Linked DNA regions of Canis lupus familiaris. The protein of the gene in region 2 purifies or fractionates together with the protein of the main gene of each other region. This does not show direct contact. Links are inferred from orthologs where the notes say so. Each region holds a gene or a part of one and is shown on either strand. Other genes may lie near its edges.

Region 1 (6,820 bases), on a different chromosome or scaffold from region 2:
GGCTGCTGTGTCTCCTGACTGGCCCTGGGAGGACCTCCATGAAGGAAGCAGGGCCTCCTGGTGTGGCCATGGCTAGACACTGATCTCACTGGTCTCTGCAGTGAGAGGCCATTTACACTTCAGCTCCCACATGAAGGTCATTTACACATTGAATGCTCCCATGTTGCGGGCCTCGTGTGCAACTGGCACTCAACTGTTCTTGGTACTGGAGACAGCCACTGAGCGACTCTTGTTCTCTCAGCCTCCTCACAGATGGGTCAGGCCCATCCTCTCATGTTGATACCCTCTCATGTCCACCACCTGTCTCCTGGCCCTTCTCCGTGTCTCCCAGGAGCACTAGAGATCAAGTTGATAGAATTGGCCTTCAGATGATCTGTGATTTCATTTAGACATTTCCCTCATAACCATAACTAATCACGAAGTTGAGTGTCTTCTTCCCAAGAAGTCCCCAACGGGCACATCAGAACCAGATGGGGAGTCTCGAGGCCTCACCAGGAAGAGGTTATCCAGTTCTCACGCTCTTTGAAGTCTCATGCGGGGGCGGGGGGGGTGGGCACATCCGTCTCAAAGGCCTCATTTATGGAGCTGGAAATACCGTCCCTGCAGTGTGCTGACACAGGAGCTGGGGGCGAGGTGCCCCCTCTAGAGGGAAGGTGGTCCTTGGTGATGGACAGCTGTGGTGCTAGTCCCAGGACCCTTTGCTCCCTCTGGGGTTCTCCCATCAGGACAACAGAATGGGAAGATGCCAAGTCCACAAAAGGCAAAAAGCTGGAAGGGGAAGCTCAGTGTGTGGGCCTATCCTGTGGCTGGTGCCTGTGGGTGTGGGTTGTCTTCATCTCCTATAGGGGGAGGCGGGGGTGGTGCTCGTGTCCTGTCAGCAACAGAGGAACAAGTCCACTCCATGTCACCATGTGGACACACTTGGCCTATGTCCACCATAAGATGGGACAGGAACAGCCAGCAAGTACTGTCTGTAACAGACGGGAGATTCCCAGTGTGGTCTGTATTCTTGAAGACCGCTACACACACCACAAGGATATCTGAGTGCAAAGAAAGGCACAACCTGAATTCTAAAATAGGTAAAATTGGCAGCCCTGGTGGCTTAGCAGTTTAGCGCCGCCTTCAGCCCAGGGTGTGATCCTGGAGACCCGAGATCGAGTCCCACGTTGGGCTCCTGGCATGGAGCCTGTTTCTCCCTCTGCCTGTGTCTCTGCCTCCCTCTCTCTCTCTCCCTCTCTCCCTCTCTCTCTGATGAATAAATAAATAAAATCTTAAAAAAAATTTTTTTAAGTTTTTTAAAAATTAAAAAAATAAAATAGGTAAAATGAACCAGTGGTCAGGGAATGACTCCCAGGGTGAGCGGATGCCCTAGGTGTTCTCGGGTAATTCACATTTTATTTTTTGGTCTGGATGCTGCTTTCCTGGCTGTTAAGGTTGGGACATCCACTAACCTGCATATTTACAGTTTGTGTACTTTTATGTATGATGTACTTCAATAAGAAGCACCGTCCAAGGGGGGGAAGCCGCCTTGCTGAGCGATGCAGATGTAAGGGATGATATTTATGAGTGGTTATGACTGTGTGATCACACATGTGGGTGTGCTGGCATCAGAGTGGATGAGAGCGTGGGCTTGAACAGGAATGTCACAGATGACACTGCAGACACTGCAACCACCCTCCCAGCTTCCTCTTACGTCTCCTGCACCACCACCACCACCTCTACCCCCGCCACCTCCATCACCTCCACCACCTTCAACTCTATCTCCGCCACCACCACCAAGCCAGTCCCTTGCCTTTCTTGTTGCCTCAGGTTTTCTCCACCTACCAACAAATAGATCTCCGCCCCCCCCCACCCCCGCCAGCCTCCACAGAGGAGAAATCACAAAATCACAGTCTTTAGTGAGAAAGTGCTGGGAGTAGGTGCCCACAGGCCACTCTTAGCTTCCCTGTGGCTTGCTCAGTACACCATGTGGCTGGAGACCCGAGGTTTGCCCTTGAAGTGGTTTCTTATGCAGAGGAAGTGGTGGCTGTCGGGGTCCTCCCCCTCCCCCACTGTAGGATGAGGCAGAGCAAGGGCCTGACCCTGACGTGACCAGGATGCCCTCCAGCAGGGCTCAGTGAAGGGGGTGGGGGTCCTCAGGAGCAGGGGCTGCCCTTAGTGTCTAACATGAGGTAGGGAGTTAGGGGTTCAAGCTGGGGATGAGTGGTCAGCAGCCAGTGACTGTATCTAGGCAGGGTGGCATCAGGTGGGTGGTCAGAGATCAGACAGTTCCCAAGAGGAGGTGCTGTTTGCAGTATATTTAGGGAACCCCACATAGGCAGACACTGGGAGCGGAGCCAGGTGAGGGGGCACACATCCAGCTGAGCCCCAGCGTCCAACGTCCTTGGAGCCAGGATAGCCCTGGGTGCCATTTGTGCTGCCTGGAGGGTGCAGTGGGTTCTCTCCGATGCATGCATCCCGGGTGCACGCCCATCACGTGGCCACCTCAGGAGGAGGGGCTCCGGAGCCTTTAAAGATGTGGAGAAAGGCTTCATTCTTTCTGGAGTGGGACCTCAGCCCCCTCCAGGCCTGGGAAAGCGGGAGCCCTGAGCCGCCATGAGGCAGCAAGAAGATAGAAACGTACGTCTGAACCTGAGCAACTGCCCCTCCATGGAAGAGGTGGGGAGGTGGGCTGAGGGTCGAGGGGTCCAAAGAGACTAGAGGGTTGGGGTCCGGGCTGGGAAGCGACTGCTCTGTCAGGAAGCTGGACTCTCTCTGGCTGGTCATTGCTGAGCTGACACTTGTACAGACCGGGAGAGGGCAAATGTGAGGGCGGCCCTGGAGGACAGACAGGCCCTGCTGGTGGCACCATGAGCTGAGCGAGACACCTGAGAGCGAGGACCCTGCTCTGCTCCCTGCTGGGACCATGTCTGGGCAGGGCCCCCAGAGAAGGCTGCTGGGCTCTCTCAATGGCACCTCCCCAGCCACCCCTCACTTCGAGCTGGCTGCCAACCAGACCGGGCCCCGGTGCCTGGAGGTGTCCATTCCCGACGGGCTGTTCCTCAGCCTGGGGCTGGTGAGCGTTGTGGAAAATGTGCTGGTGGTGGCCGCCATTGCCAAGAACCGCAACCTGCACTCGCCCATGTATTACTTCATCGGTTGCCTGGCTGTGTCCGACCTGCTGGTGAGCGTGAGCAATGTGCTGGAGACGGCCGTCATGCTGCTGGTGGCGGCAGGCGCCTTGGCTGCTCAGGCTGCTGTGGTGCAGCAGCTGGACGACATCATTGACGTGCTCATCTGTGGTTCCATGGTATCCAGCCTCTGCTTCCTGGGCGCCATTGCCGTGGACCGCTACCTCTCCATCTTCTACGCGCTGCGATACCACAGCATCGTCACACTCCCGCGGGCGTGGCGGGCCATCTCCGCTATCTGGGTGGCTAGCGTCCTCTCCAGCACGCTCTTCATTGCCTACTACAATCACACGGCCGTCCTGCTTTGTCTTGTCAGCTTCTTTGTAGCCATGCTGGTGCTCATGGCAGTGCTGTACGTCCACATGCTTGCCCGCGCCTGCCAGCACGCCCGAGGTATTGCCCGGCTCCATAAGAGGCAGCACTTCATCCCCCAGGGCTTTGGCCTCAAGGGCGCTGCCACACTCACTATCCTGCTGGGCATTTTCTTTCTCTGCTGGGGCCCCTTCTTCTTGCACCTCTCACTCGTGGTCCTCTGCCCTCAACACCCCATCTGTGGCTGCGTCTTTCAGAACTTCAACCTCTTCCTCACCCTCATCATCTGCAACTCCATCATTGACCCCTTCATCTACGCCTTCCGCAGCCAGGAGCTCCGAAAGACTCTCCAAGAGGTAGTGCTATGTTCCTGGTGAGGCTGCAGGCTTGAGGCCAGGGTGCTGGGCAGAGGGGGGTGGTGATTGATACCCATGTGACTGGGGCAGTCACTTGCAGAAAAGGACAGATGAGCTGATCTGTGGTGTGGTGGATGCATGGACCCTCTGGGGCCAGAGAAAGGAATAAACAAAAATCTCCAGGAGTTGCTGTGGAGAATGGAGCAGGCTGGGGAGATGGTGGGGCCACAGACACGAGAGCCAGGTCCGGGACTACTGGACAGCATCTCTGGCTGCTCCTGGAGAGTTCCTTCTCCACCCAGGGACCAGGCAAGGCCTGCACACACCCACCTTTGCTGCCAGGTCTGGAGATTTGGGCCCCTGCCCGTTGGGATGTGAAGTCTCAGTGTTGGTAGCATGACAAGTACTGCTCTCGGGAAGGCCTCCAGGAAAAGGACTTTGTGACCAGCCAGTCCTCACAGGACTGCTTCGGGAAGAAGTGAGCTCCTGTTGCAGGCACAGGGACTGTCTACAGGAGCTGCAGTGGAGGGTAGGGCTGATCTAAAGTCCACTGGTAACCAGAGAGCTGGTGACCCAACTGTGTGCACATGCACCGCATGTACCCACCAGACAGTGTTGGTCAGTGCCTGCTCAGGCCAAGGCAGAGGTCGTCAGCCCGAATCAGTGACTGGTGCCCAGGGTCTCAGGGCTGGGAAGCTGGGAAGCAGTCTGGTAATAAATGCTGTGTCTGGTGCAGACACATCACCATCCGCTTTGCGTCCTTTGGGAAATTGCTTGCAACTGGAGGGGCGGGGCGGGGGGGCAAGGGCGGGGTTGAGGGTGATGAACAGGGAGCTGTGAATCCCAGAAACCAGGGTGGGTCTGCCTAGCTGAAGAAGCCACAGCCCCAGAGCACCTGAATGCCTGAGCCCCTGCCCAAGGAGAGAGTGTAGGGGTCCCCTGATCACACCCACTCTGGGCCTGTGTCTTAGTTTTCTCTTCCTGGTGTAAACCCCAGCTCAGAACAACCAGAGTCAGAAGCAGCAGGAATGGTATCCCTGGGTGGCTCAGCGGTTTAGCACCTGCCTTTGGCCCAGGGTGATCCTGGACCCACATCGGGATCCTGCAGGGAGCCTGTTTCTCCCTCTGCCTATGTCTCTGCCTCTCTCTCTGTCTCTCTGTCTCTCTCTCTCTCTATCATGAATAAATAAAGAATCTTAAAAAAAGAAAAAAACAGGAACAGCAGCTGCCCCCACCCCACCCCCGCCCCCAGTCACCTCCAAGGTGACATGACTCAGCACTGTCCAGGCTGCCCTTGATGGCAGCAGAAGCAGGACCACCATGACCCATATGTGACCTCCATGTCTGTTCTGAGGAACACAGCAGGGCCCCCAGGGTGTGCCAGGGGTTGGGGGCTGCTTTCCCCCACGACTGCCCTCCTGGGAGAGGGAGGTCAGTGCTCAGCCAGCTCTGGGAAGTGTTCGAGGCGAGGCCTCCCAGAATGGAGTGGGACTGTCCAAGTCCAAGCCGTGAAGGAGTGCACGTCGGGTAAACTGTGCTGCCTGTTGCCGGAAGCCCTTGGGTCCTCCTTCTGTGACAAACCTGGGTTTCTCATGGAAGAGCCCACCTGGTTTCCTCCACAGATACTGAGTGTACAGTCGACCCCCTTCCTGATACAGGTTCGGCAGTGGCAAGGGTGATGGTATCAGCCAATTTGAAGGCAGGTCTAGTAATGCCTAAAGTCTTCTGCAGCCTCTGGCCAACCACCCCCAGCACTGCCCCAGCCAGCCTCCACCTACGCTGGCAGCTTCAGCCCAGACTGCTGGCCTCAATGCCAGGAGCTGGTTCCCGGCAGGGCCAGCCTTTGCTGGGAGACAAGACAGTGAGTCAGCCTTGAACCTGGCACCAGAGCCCTCTGGGGATGGAGAGAGAACTGGCCTGGCTCACTGCCATCACGCAGGGAGGCAGGGCATGTGGGTAATGGGTCTTGGATGCTGCAAAGCTTCTTCCTTTGCTCAGACGGGGAGGTGCAGCCAGCTCCGGGGAAGAGCCAAATGCTCACCAAGGACCCCCTGAATGGGGACAGGGAGTGGCCCCAGGCAGTGGAAGCCAACCACAGAAAGCCACATCATGGACACATTGTGGGGGAGGGGTGTCTCTTGAGAACAAAAGACCCATTTCTAGACTAGCCAAACTGGAGAGCTTGGGGGACGGGGGAAGAGGGGCTTGTGCACGACCACACCCTGTCAACGCACTCTTGAGGAGCCCAGACACAGACACATCACAGGCCTATTCAGCCAACAGCTTGTGGAACACCCATGCACTCTGAGACCCTTCCTGGGAGAATTTCTTACTCAACTATCAGAAGGACCTTGTTATAAGGTCATTTCACTACAGAGTCTGGCCCCAGAAGAATAGTAAGCCAGTGGTATATGTATGTGTAACATAACATCTGTACTGCATGTCCACTTCATCCCCTTTCTCTTCTGACCAGTGGACTCCCTTTCCCAGTTTTTTTTCTCCAAGAATCCCCCCCATCTCTGCCTTATGCACACACCATCTCACTACATAGCCCCTACCACCAATGTTGTGTTGGCCTCACTTGGACCAAAAGTCCAGGAGTACAGGTGACATCAGGAAGTGAATCAGACAGAAACCACTGCCCACCATCCCACACCCTGCCAGTCCCTCACCTGGCTTGTGTCCTTCCGATAATTCCTGACATCAATATTCACTGAGCAGCGATTACACACCAGGCACTGTGCCTCGCTGGGGTACAAAGCCTCCCCCTGCGCAAGGTCCATTTGGAATCTCATGAAAGCCCCTGAGGGAGGAGGGGCAGGTGGCATCCCCCCACTGCAGGGAAGGACGGGGAAGTTCACAGCTGCCATTGTAATCGACCGTCCTTCTGACTCCGCGTTTCTGAGCCCTGCTCCATGCTTTCTTCTGGAGGGTTCAGTGTCTGCTGCAGCCTCTTCCTGCCTCTCCCACCCCTAAGGGACC
Region 2 (7,677 bases):
GAAGCCAAGCCCTTTGGGGTTAGAAGTGGGCTGTGTCACTTCTTGCCGTCCAGGTACTGCTGCTTGCTGTTGGGGGGCTCTGGTCCCTGTCAGAACTTGCCCAGTGGTCATAAACCTGACTGAGCTTGAGAACTGCCTGGAGAGTTGGGTTACCTGGGTCAGGCGGTACTCCCGGTAGTTTCAAGGCCCAGTCAGAGGGCCACGTTTGGAGAGACCTGGCCGGGCCCTGTCCTTCCGCTGTGGATGTGGAATGGCTGAGGAAGGGCCTTCAGCCTGCCAGGCGGGGCTGCTAAGTGGTACCAGCTTGTAACTCTGTGTCTTTCTCCCTGGTAGCACGTCGATGGCAGCTTCTCTGTGAAACCTTTAAAGCAGAAGCAAATTGTAAGTCTGGTAGGAGAAACATTGTGACCTCTTTTGATATTAAAGGCCCTCAAACACACTCAATGTCCAGAGTTGTCATCTGGGCTCTGGAAAGTCCGAATCTGCCCCTCTGTGCATGCGTGCGCCCACCACATCCCAGTATTGACTCGTAGCCCAAGTTTCGCCCAGCTCGGTGAGGAGGGTTCGACCTCCTTAGGGCTAGGTGGGAAATGCAGCTCAGACTGCTTTTGAGCACGGTGACGTGTGGTCACTCTTGTGCAGCTGTGATGGGTGGTTCAAAGTGGCTTTTCCCTGGGGAGGGGGAGGGTAGGTGGAGAGGGTATGCTTGCCTGGCCCGAGTGGAGGTTGGCTCCATGCCCCTCGGTGAGCAGAACCTTGGGCCCCCAGCCCCTGCCCTTCTGCCTGTGTCACTCACTGGGCTGGGCTGGGCCAGGTATGCTCCTCCTGGCCCCGGGCCCACTCGCTGAGGTGCAGGTGGGCAGAATTTCAAACCACACCTGCTCTGGGACCCAGGCCTGGCCCCTGGGAAGTGGTGTTGGGCCAGGGGGGTGCAGCGGGGCTTCCGAATGGGGCCGGCCAGTGCCCGGATACCTCTGTGTTCTCTAGGTGGACCGGGTCAGCTACCTGCTGCAGGAGATCTACGGCATCGAGAACAAGAACAACCAGGAGACCAAGGTTTGCGCTGGTGGCGACCTTGGCTGGGACTGTGGGTGGACCTCACTCTCATCTTCCCTTCCACCTGCCCGGGAGCCGGCTCCTGGAGGGGCTTGCCTGAAACCCCCAGCCCTGGCCCTGGCCCCGTGGGCTAGTCCCCTGTGTGCCTTCCCCAGGGGGCCCCAGGACCCCAGACTCCAGGTTTCTTTAACTTTTCAAAGGCTTTCACAGAGAAGGGCAACCTGGGTGGCTGGGTCAGTGAGTGTGCAGCCCTTGATCTTGGGATTGTAAGTTTGAGCCCCATGTTGGCTGTTGAGATTACTTAAAGATCATAATAATAGTAATGAATGAATAAATAGAAGAGTTAACAGAGCCTATGGGGCATTTTATTCTTTTTCCAACAAATTCCCTGGCTTATTAACATCTTTGGGTTGCCAGCCATTGTGTGGACAGGGACAGCCTGGTGTGTGGGGCCCCTTCCCACCCCCTTGGGGTGAGCTCTAGTGGCCCCCGCCAGCGGCACCCCCCCCCCCAGGCCCCCAGCCCCGAGCCCTCTGCACACCTGTGGCCAAAGCGTGTGGCTGACGGAGCTGTGGTCTGGCGAGCATCGGCCTGTGCCTTTGTCATCATTTGAAAGGCACGAGTGACACTGCCATCTCTTAAACGTTTCTGGAAGTCTTAAACGCAAGCCTCTGTGACAGCTGGGACCGGCTGAAAGCCGGAAGTCAGGGCACTTTGGTCAGGCCCTTAGTCTCGGAGTGTTCTCTGCGTGCTTCATGTGTCAGCACCCCCTTCCACAAACAGCCTGGTGGTATGTGTTGTCACCTTCAGTGGCCATGTGGCGTCTGTCATGCCTGTTCAGTGCCCTGATTTTACAGATTGCACACAAGCAGCATTGCCGTTTGGAAACCAAGGGGCAAGGCTGGGTTCCGGTAAAACTTGATTTACAGAAACAGCTGGTGGGGCTGTAGTTTGCTCTTTTACAGGGTTGTCGTCTCTTGATCCAGACACTCATTTTGATTAGACAAGGTGGACTTGTCTGATTTTTTTCAGTTTCAACCCAGTATGTGGGCACCCTCTGTAAGACATGCCTGTACTGTGGCCTTTCCACGCTGCTCTGTGGTTCTGGGGAATAGGAGGAAACCTGGGTTTTCTTGGTTTGGTGTGTGTGTTGGGGGCAGGCACGAGCCGGGTCTGAGCTCTGGGCCGTGTCCCCTGAAGATGGGAACACCTCCCTGCCCTGGCCTCTGCCTGTGGCCCTGGGGAGCCCGCTGACACTCGGACCCTCCGTGTCCCCGCAGCCCTCGGACGAGGAGAATAGCGACAACAGCAACGAGTGTGTGGTGTGCCTGTCGGACCTGCGGGACACGCTGATCCTGCCCTGCCGGCACCTCTGCCTGTGTAACTCGTGTGCGGACACGCTGCGCTACCAGGCCAGCAACTGCCCCATCTGCCGGCTGCGTGAGTGGGGCCAGGGCTAGGGGGCTGCGGGCTGTCGCCTCCTGCCCCGGGCACAGCGAGTGGGACGTGTACTTGGTGCAGGTGGTCAGTACCCCTGGCAACCGTGCTGGCACATGTGCGGCTCACGTCCCCGAACATTAGACTTCGGGAGTTAACGGCAGGAACGGTGCCAGGGCAGGTGCTTGCCGTGAACTTGGAACGGGACAGAAAGTGGCCTGTGAATCACACCTTTAAGTGTTACGTGGACAATATTTTGATTGTAAAAAAACAGTCCTGGTGAGGTGGACAGCCGACAGGAGTTCGTTTCCAGGAGCACTCCAGACGTTTTCTCAAAGTTAATTCTGAATCAGGTGTTCGTCCTCCAGTGGAAGGAATCCAGACATTCTCAGGGCAGAAGATCCCGCTGGATCGAAATGAGCGTCCAGCCAGTGGGCGGGTCCCAGCAGTGAAGGGCCAGGGCTGTAGGGGGAGAGCCCGCCCTGGACTCCGGGGGTTTTCAGTTGTCGGGAGCTGACGGCTTTTTGGAGAAAGTCTTCGTGCCATTTCACACCTTGGTGTGCCTGTCAGCCTCCAGGGCAGCCTGGGGGTACCCGTGCCTCAGCCCGCGCTCCTGTACCAGCATCCGGCTGTGTGGCCCGGACTGCTTTACACGCTTGTCTCGTCAGTATCTTGGGGCTCAGAGGGAGCCTGTCCAGGGTCACAGCTGGTAAGGGGCAGGGTTGGGTCTAAACTAGTGGTGAGGTGTGTGCAGGGGTCGTGGGGTAGGCTGAGCGTGTGGAAGTGGAGGGGGAGGCTGTGGGGTCTGGGCGGTCCGGAGTCCAGCCCTGATGAGACCTCAGGGCTTGCAGGGGTGGCCGCAGGGGGTCTGTGTGCTGGCCCTAGAGGGACAGGCAGCAGGCCGGGTAGCCTCTCCTGGGTGAGGAACAGGCTGGGAGCAGGAGCTGAATGCCAGCCTTCCCCAGGGGCCCTGTGTCTGGTGTTCTCAGGTGCGGCATGGTGTGACGGCCCAGGGGCCCAGATGGGCTAGGGCATGGGCCCCTGGCAGGTGTGGGGGGCACTTGGGCTGGGTGAGCTGGGCCAGGGCCCTTGTCTCTGAGGCCTGCAGCTTGGGGCAGCCACCATCAGCGCTAGAGATGTGGGTGTCACTAGCAGGTGCTGGGACAGTGTGCAGCTGTTTACCGTGTGTGACCTGTGCTTTTCATAAACGTTACGCTGTTTTTTTTGTCTTTAAGATTTTATTTATTTATTCATGAGATAGAGAGAGAGAGGCAGAGACACAGGCAGAGGGAGAAGCAGGCTCCCTGCAAGGAGCCTGATGTGGGACTCGATCCCAGTACCCTGGGATCACACAGTGAGCCAAAGGCAGATGCTCAACCACTGAGCCCCCCAGGTACCCCAGCATTACACTCTTATTAGGGACACTGATCAGGGTGACCAGTAGCTTGGTCCTAATTTATTTTCCCAATTCTTGCTGCTTCTGGTTTTGTGGTGTAGAGATTGTGCTGTTAGGGACATTCGCATATGTATGTTTGCCTGTCCTTGGTGTAACTTCCGGGAGGAGATACCTGGTCGCCAGGAATGATGCCGCCACCACATTCAAGGGTGTAGTCCCGGGTTTGGCATGTGTGAGGCTGGTGGCACCCTCCCTGCTGCCCTGGAAGCTCCACCTGAACTGGGTAGTGCACTCCTGGGCTCCCGTCTCCCCTCTGGGGCGGTTTGGTGATCACTCTGTTTTGCCTCTGATTTGGAAATGTGGCTTGTCCTAGGACCACTGTGGGTGGGTGGGTGGCCGGTGGCCCCGGGGCTTAAAGGGCCTCCGTGGTTCCGGAACTGGCTGCCCCTTGCCTGATGGGAGCCCTTCCCTCTGCCACAGCTTTCCGGGCCCTTCTGCAGATCCGGGCAGTGAGGAAGAAGCCGGGAGCCCTGTCCCCCGTCTCCTTCAGCCCTGTCCTGGCCCAGAGCATGGACCACGATGAACATTCAGTAAGTGCCTCTTTCTTCTGTGCTGTGGAGTGGAGGCCAGAGAACAGGGGGTTTCTGCAGGAAGCCCCTGCCCATTTTTAGTCTCTCAGTCCGGACGCCCTCAGGCTTTACCCTTCATGTTAGGACAGCTTCGGCTTCCCAGTGGGGCCGCATTGGTCAGAGGCCCTGGGCCTGTGGCCAGAAGGAAGGGCATGGCCAGGCTGTCTGCTTCTCACTGCCTGCCGGCTCTCTGGGCCTCCGTCCTCATCTGGCCGAATGGGGTGACCCAGGCTGGGCCCAGGGAGCCCCGGGTCCTGAGAGTATTGTTGTTTTTGCCGAGAGCAAAGGCCATCTGACGGCACGCAACCCTCCATTGAGTTTGAATGTCTGTCACCATCATTCTACCAGGCCAGATAGCCAGGGCCACCATATGGGTCCTAGGAGCTGAGGTCTCACCCAGTGGGTGACTATGATCTGTCCTCTCTGTCCACTGAGGGGGGCTGCCCAGCCTGGACACAGGAGAGCGCCTTGGCAGCCACCTACCTCACTTGCTTCCTGGGAAACCGCGAGGTGAGCTTGTTGCACGCAAAGGAGGGGAGACAGACTCAGGCTTCAGGGAGAGAGATGGCTGTCTGGGTCAAGACATCGGCAGAAGATGGAGAGAGATGTAGAGACACAGAAAGAGAAGCAGAGACAGACATGGATAGAGATGAGCAGAGACACAGTCACAGAGACATGGGGAGAGACACATGCAGAGAGGCACTGGGAGAGACACAGAGGAGACACAGACGGGGATGGGACTAGAAAAGTAGGTGCCGAGACACGGCAGAGAGGCACAGCAGAGACAGGAGGGGCTGGCCCAGGTCTTGAGCTCCCAGCCCCGCCCCCGCCCGGCCACAGCCATTGTCTGCCGGTGAGTCTGATGTTGGGATTCAGTGATTCTCAGAGGGAAAGGACCCAAACCCTGTGGTTCGCACACCCGCAAGATGGGCTTCTGCGCTGGTGAGTGTCCCATGTTGGGCCTGTGCAGTGTGTGTGAATATTGGGCCAGTGTTTAAAGGCTGGAAATTTTCCATAAGACTCAGATTTCTGGCTTCTCTTTCAAAATCTGAAGGTCTGGTCTTGCAGCTCAAGCTGATGCAAGGCTGCCTCGGAGGTGGGGTCCCCATCACCCCCACTTTTCCAGGCCAGCCTGGAAATACACAAAATACACTTTTCCAGTGTATTTTGCCTGCTGGGCCCCTGTTGGCATCAGGGCTTACTACTCCCGAAACGGCCCTCCAGTGTATTTAATATTGGGCTTGACTGAGGAACACGGAACATTTTCTCCAGCCATGCAGTTTTAGTAGAGAGAGAAGTTAGCAGTGAGATATGATTTGTTCCTGGGAGAGGAGGGGTGCTCAGGGGTGGACGGTGGGTTTTCTTGTTGCCTGTGTGTGCCCTTCCCAGGCTCTGCCCTGGAGTCTGAGCGGCCGGCCTAACCTTCCCATGTCTGTCCCTCTTATCCAGAGAGTGCCGAGATGGCTCTCACACTACAGGGCGGCCCTGGGTTTGGGTTGTGAGCTTCCCATGCTCCAGAGGGCCGGTGCCTTCCCCTCCAGAGAGTTAAGATAGCCAAATAACGGGCTCTGGTTCTCCACCATGTTCCCTGAATGAGCAATTTGCACCTAGTGGTGTGGAGAACCCAAATTTTCTTCAGTGAGACCTTTACGGTCATTGAGGAATGGGGGTGATTTAGGGCTGATTTTTCTCCCCAGCTTCCTTTAGGAGTTGGACATTGGTGATGAGTTTATGAGACAGTGGCAGACCTCATAGAAGTACGGGGTGGGGTGTCCCTTTCTCGTGCCCAGCGGGGCCCACTTGTGAGGAGCACCTGGCTAGCCTCCTGCCTGTGCTGGCCAGGACCTGCTTCTCGGGGTAACCCAGACGACGGTGGCCAGTGGGACAGGGATGGGCTCTACCAGCGGCATTGCTTCTGGGAGTTGCAAAGATGCCCAGGCCCAGGCCCTACAGAATGTGCACTTGGCCAGGTCCCCAGACCTCATGTGCAGGTTCAGTTTGCCAGGCACAGGCTCACGGCACACCCAGAGGCCAGCAAGCCCGAGACACGCCCCAGCCAGCCAGCTCCAGTGCGGTTTGGGGGATGGCAGTTGTAAAACATATGATTTTTATCTTGACAGTGTCCCTTTAAAAAATCAAAGGCGCACCCCGCCTCACTGGCCAGCAAGAAACCTAAAAGGGAAACAGTAAGTGTGTTTGGCCCTGTGGCCACATCTTTGCCCCGCACCCTGATGATTAAACCAATGACAAGTATGGGAAATCATTTTCACCCCAGGCTAACGTGTTTGGTTAATTTAATCTGTCAAATCCACTCTCCCCAGTCCCGGCGTCCCTGCCCAGGAAGGGAGTTTTGTGGAACAAGCAAAGCTCAAGGTCTGTCGGCAAAAAGCCAGTGTCTTGGATCCCCGCTGCCAGGCGGCAACAGCGCCGGCCTCGGGCTGCCCCTTCTCGCCAGCTCTGCTTCTGCCCGTGGTCCCCAATGGCCTCGTTTCCCTTTTTTTTCTTGCTGGCAGTGGAATGATGTTGGAGGTGGAACTCACTCACCTTGCTTCTAGTTTTTGCAAACAGTCTTCCTCGCGCTTGCTTGTCATCCTGCATCCCCTGCTCTGTCCACCTTGGATGTTAGCTCTTTGGGTCAAGGACTTGGTTTCCTTGCATTTTCCCTGCATCTCAGGGAGCAGGCGGGGGCCTCTGCCTGGAGCCTCTACTGACCCCCATGGCCCCTCAGCAGAACTTAGAGCGGCGGAGGTCACGGGAGGGCCAACCCAGAGAGAGGCTTTTTTCCTCTTTGGAGGATGAGGAGGTTCAAAGCAATTACTGACCTTTCAGTGGAAGGCAGGCTGGGAGCGGATACAGGGCAGCACGGGCCAGGTGGCCAGGGCACTCGGGGAAGCTCTGCCTGGCCCTTCTGCCTTTCCTGGTCCGCAGGGCTGTTCCGTCCCTGAAAGGCAGCTCTCCCTTCCTCCCAGCAGAGCGGGCAGGCGGGCGGGGGTTCACAGTGGGAGCACTGCAGGGCATTGGTCCCTTGCCTTGTCTAGTGAGAGCGAGGCGGGGGGGCTGTCCTGCCTGCGCAGTGGCCTGGGGACCTCACGTCTTCAGCACCCGGGCATCTCCCCACACCTTAACTCTAAAGCAGGACTCAGTCTGTTGATTTGCTCC

What was found. The genes of interacting proteins can lie anywhere in the genome.
Region 1: the proteins of MGRN1 (region 2) and MC1R purify together in Homo sapiens (affinity purification with western blotting; 3 studies listed by BioGRID). This does not show direct contact. The link is inferred for Canis lupus familiaris from reciprocal best matches to the Homo sapiens genes MGRN1 and MC1R.

The regions. Positions count from the first base shown.
Region 1 is NC_049226.1:64,183,729-64,190,548, reverse strand, and holds MC1R (melanocyte-stimulating hormone receptor), read left to right. Parts: upstream 1-2,905; coding exon 2,906-3,859; downstream 3,860-6,820. UniProt on the Homo sapiens protein: Receptor for MSH (alpha, beta and gamma) and ACTH. The activity of this receptor is mediated by G proteins which activate adenylate cyclase.
Region 2 is NC_049227.1:37,018,237-37,025,913, reverse strand, and holds part of MGRN1 (E3 ubiquitin-protein ligase MGRN1), read left to right. Parts: intron 1-333; coding exon 334-381; intron 382-987; coding exon 988-1,056; intron 1,057-2,336; coding exon 2,337-2,496; intron 2,497-4,369; coding exon 4,370-4,479; intron 4,480-4,953; coding exon 4,954-5,028; intron 5,029-6,638; coding exon 6,639-6,704; intron 6,705-7,677. UniProt on the Homo sapiens protein: E3 ubiquitin-protein ligase. Mediates monoubiquitination at multiple sites of TSG101 in the presence of UBE2D1, but not of UBE2G1, nor UBE2H. Plays a role in the regulation of endosome-to-lysosome trafficking.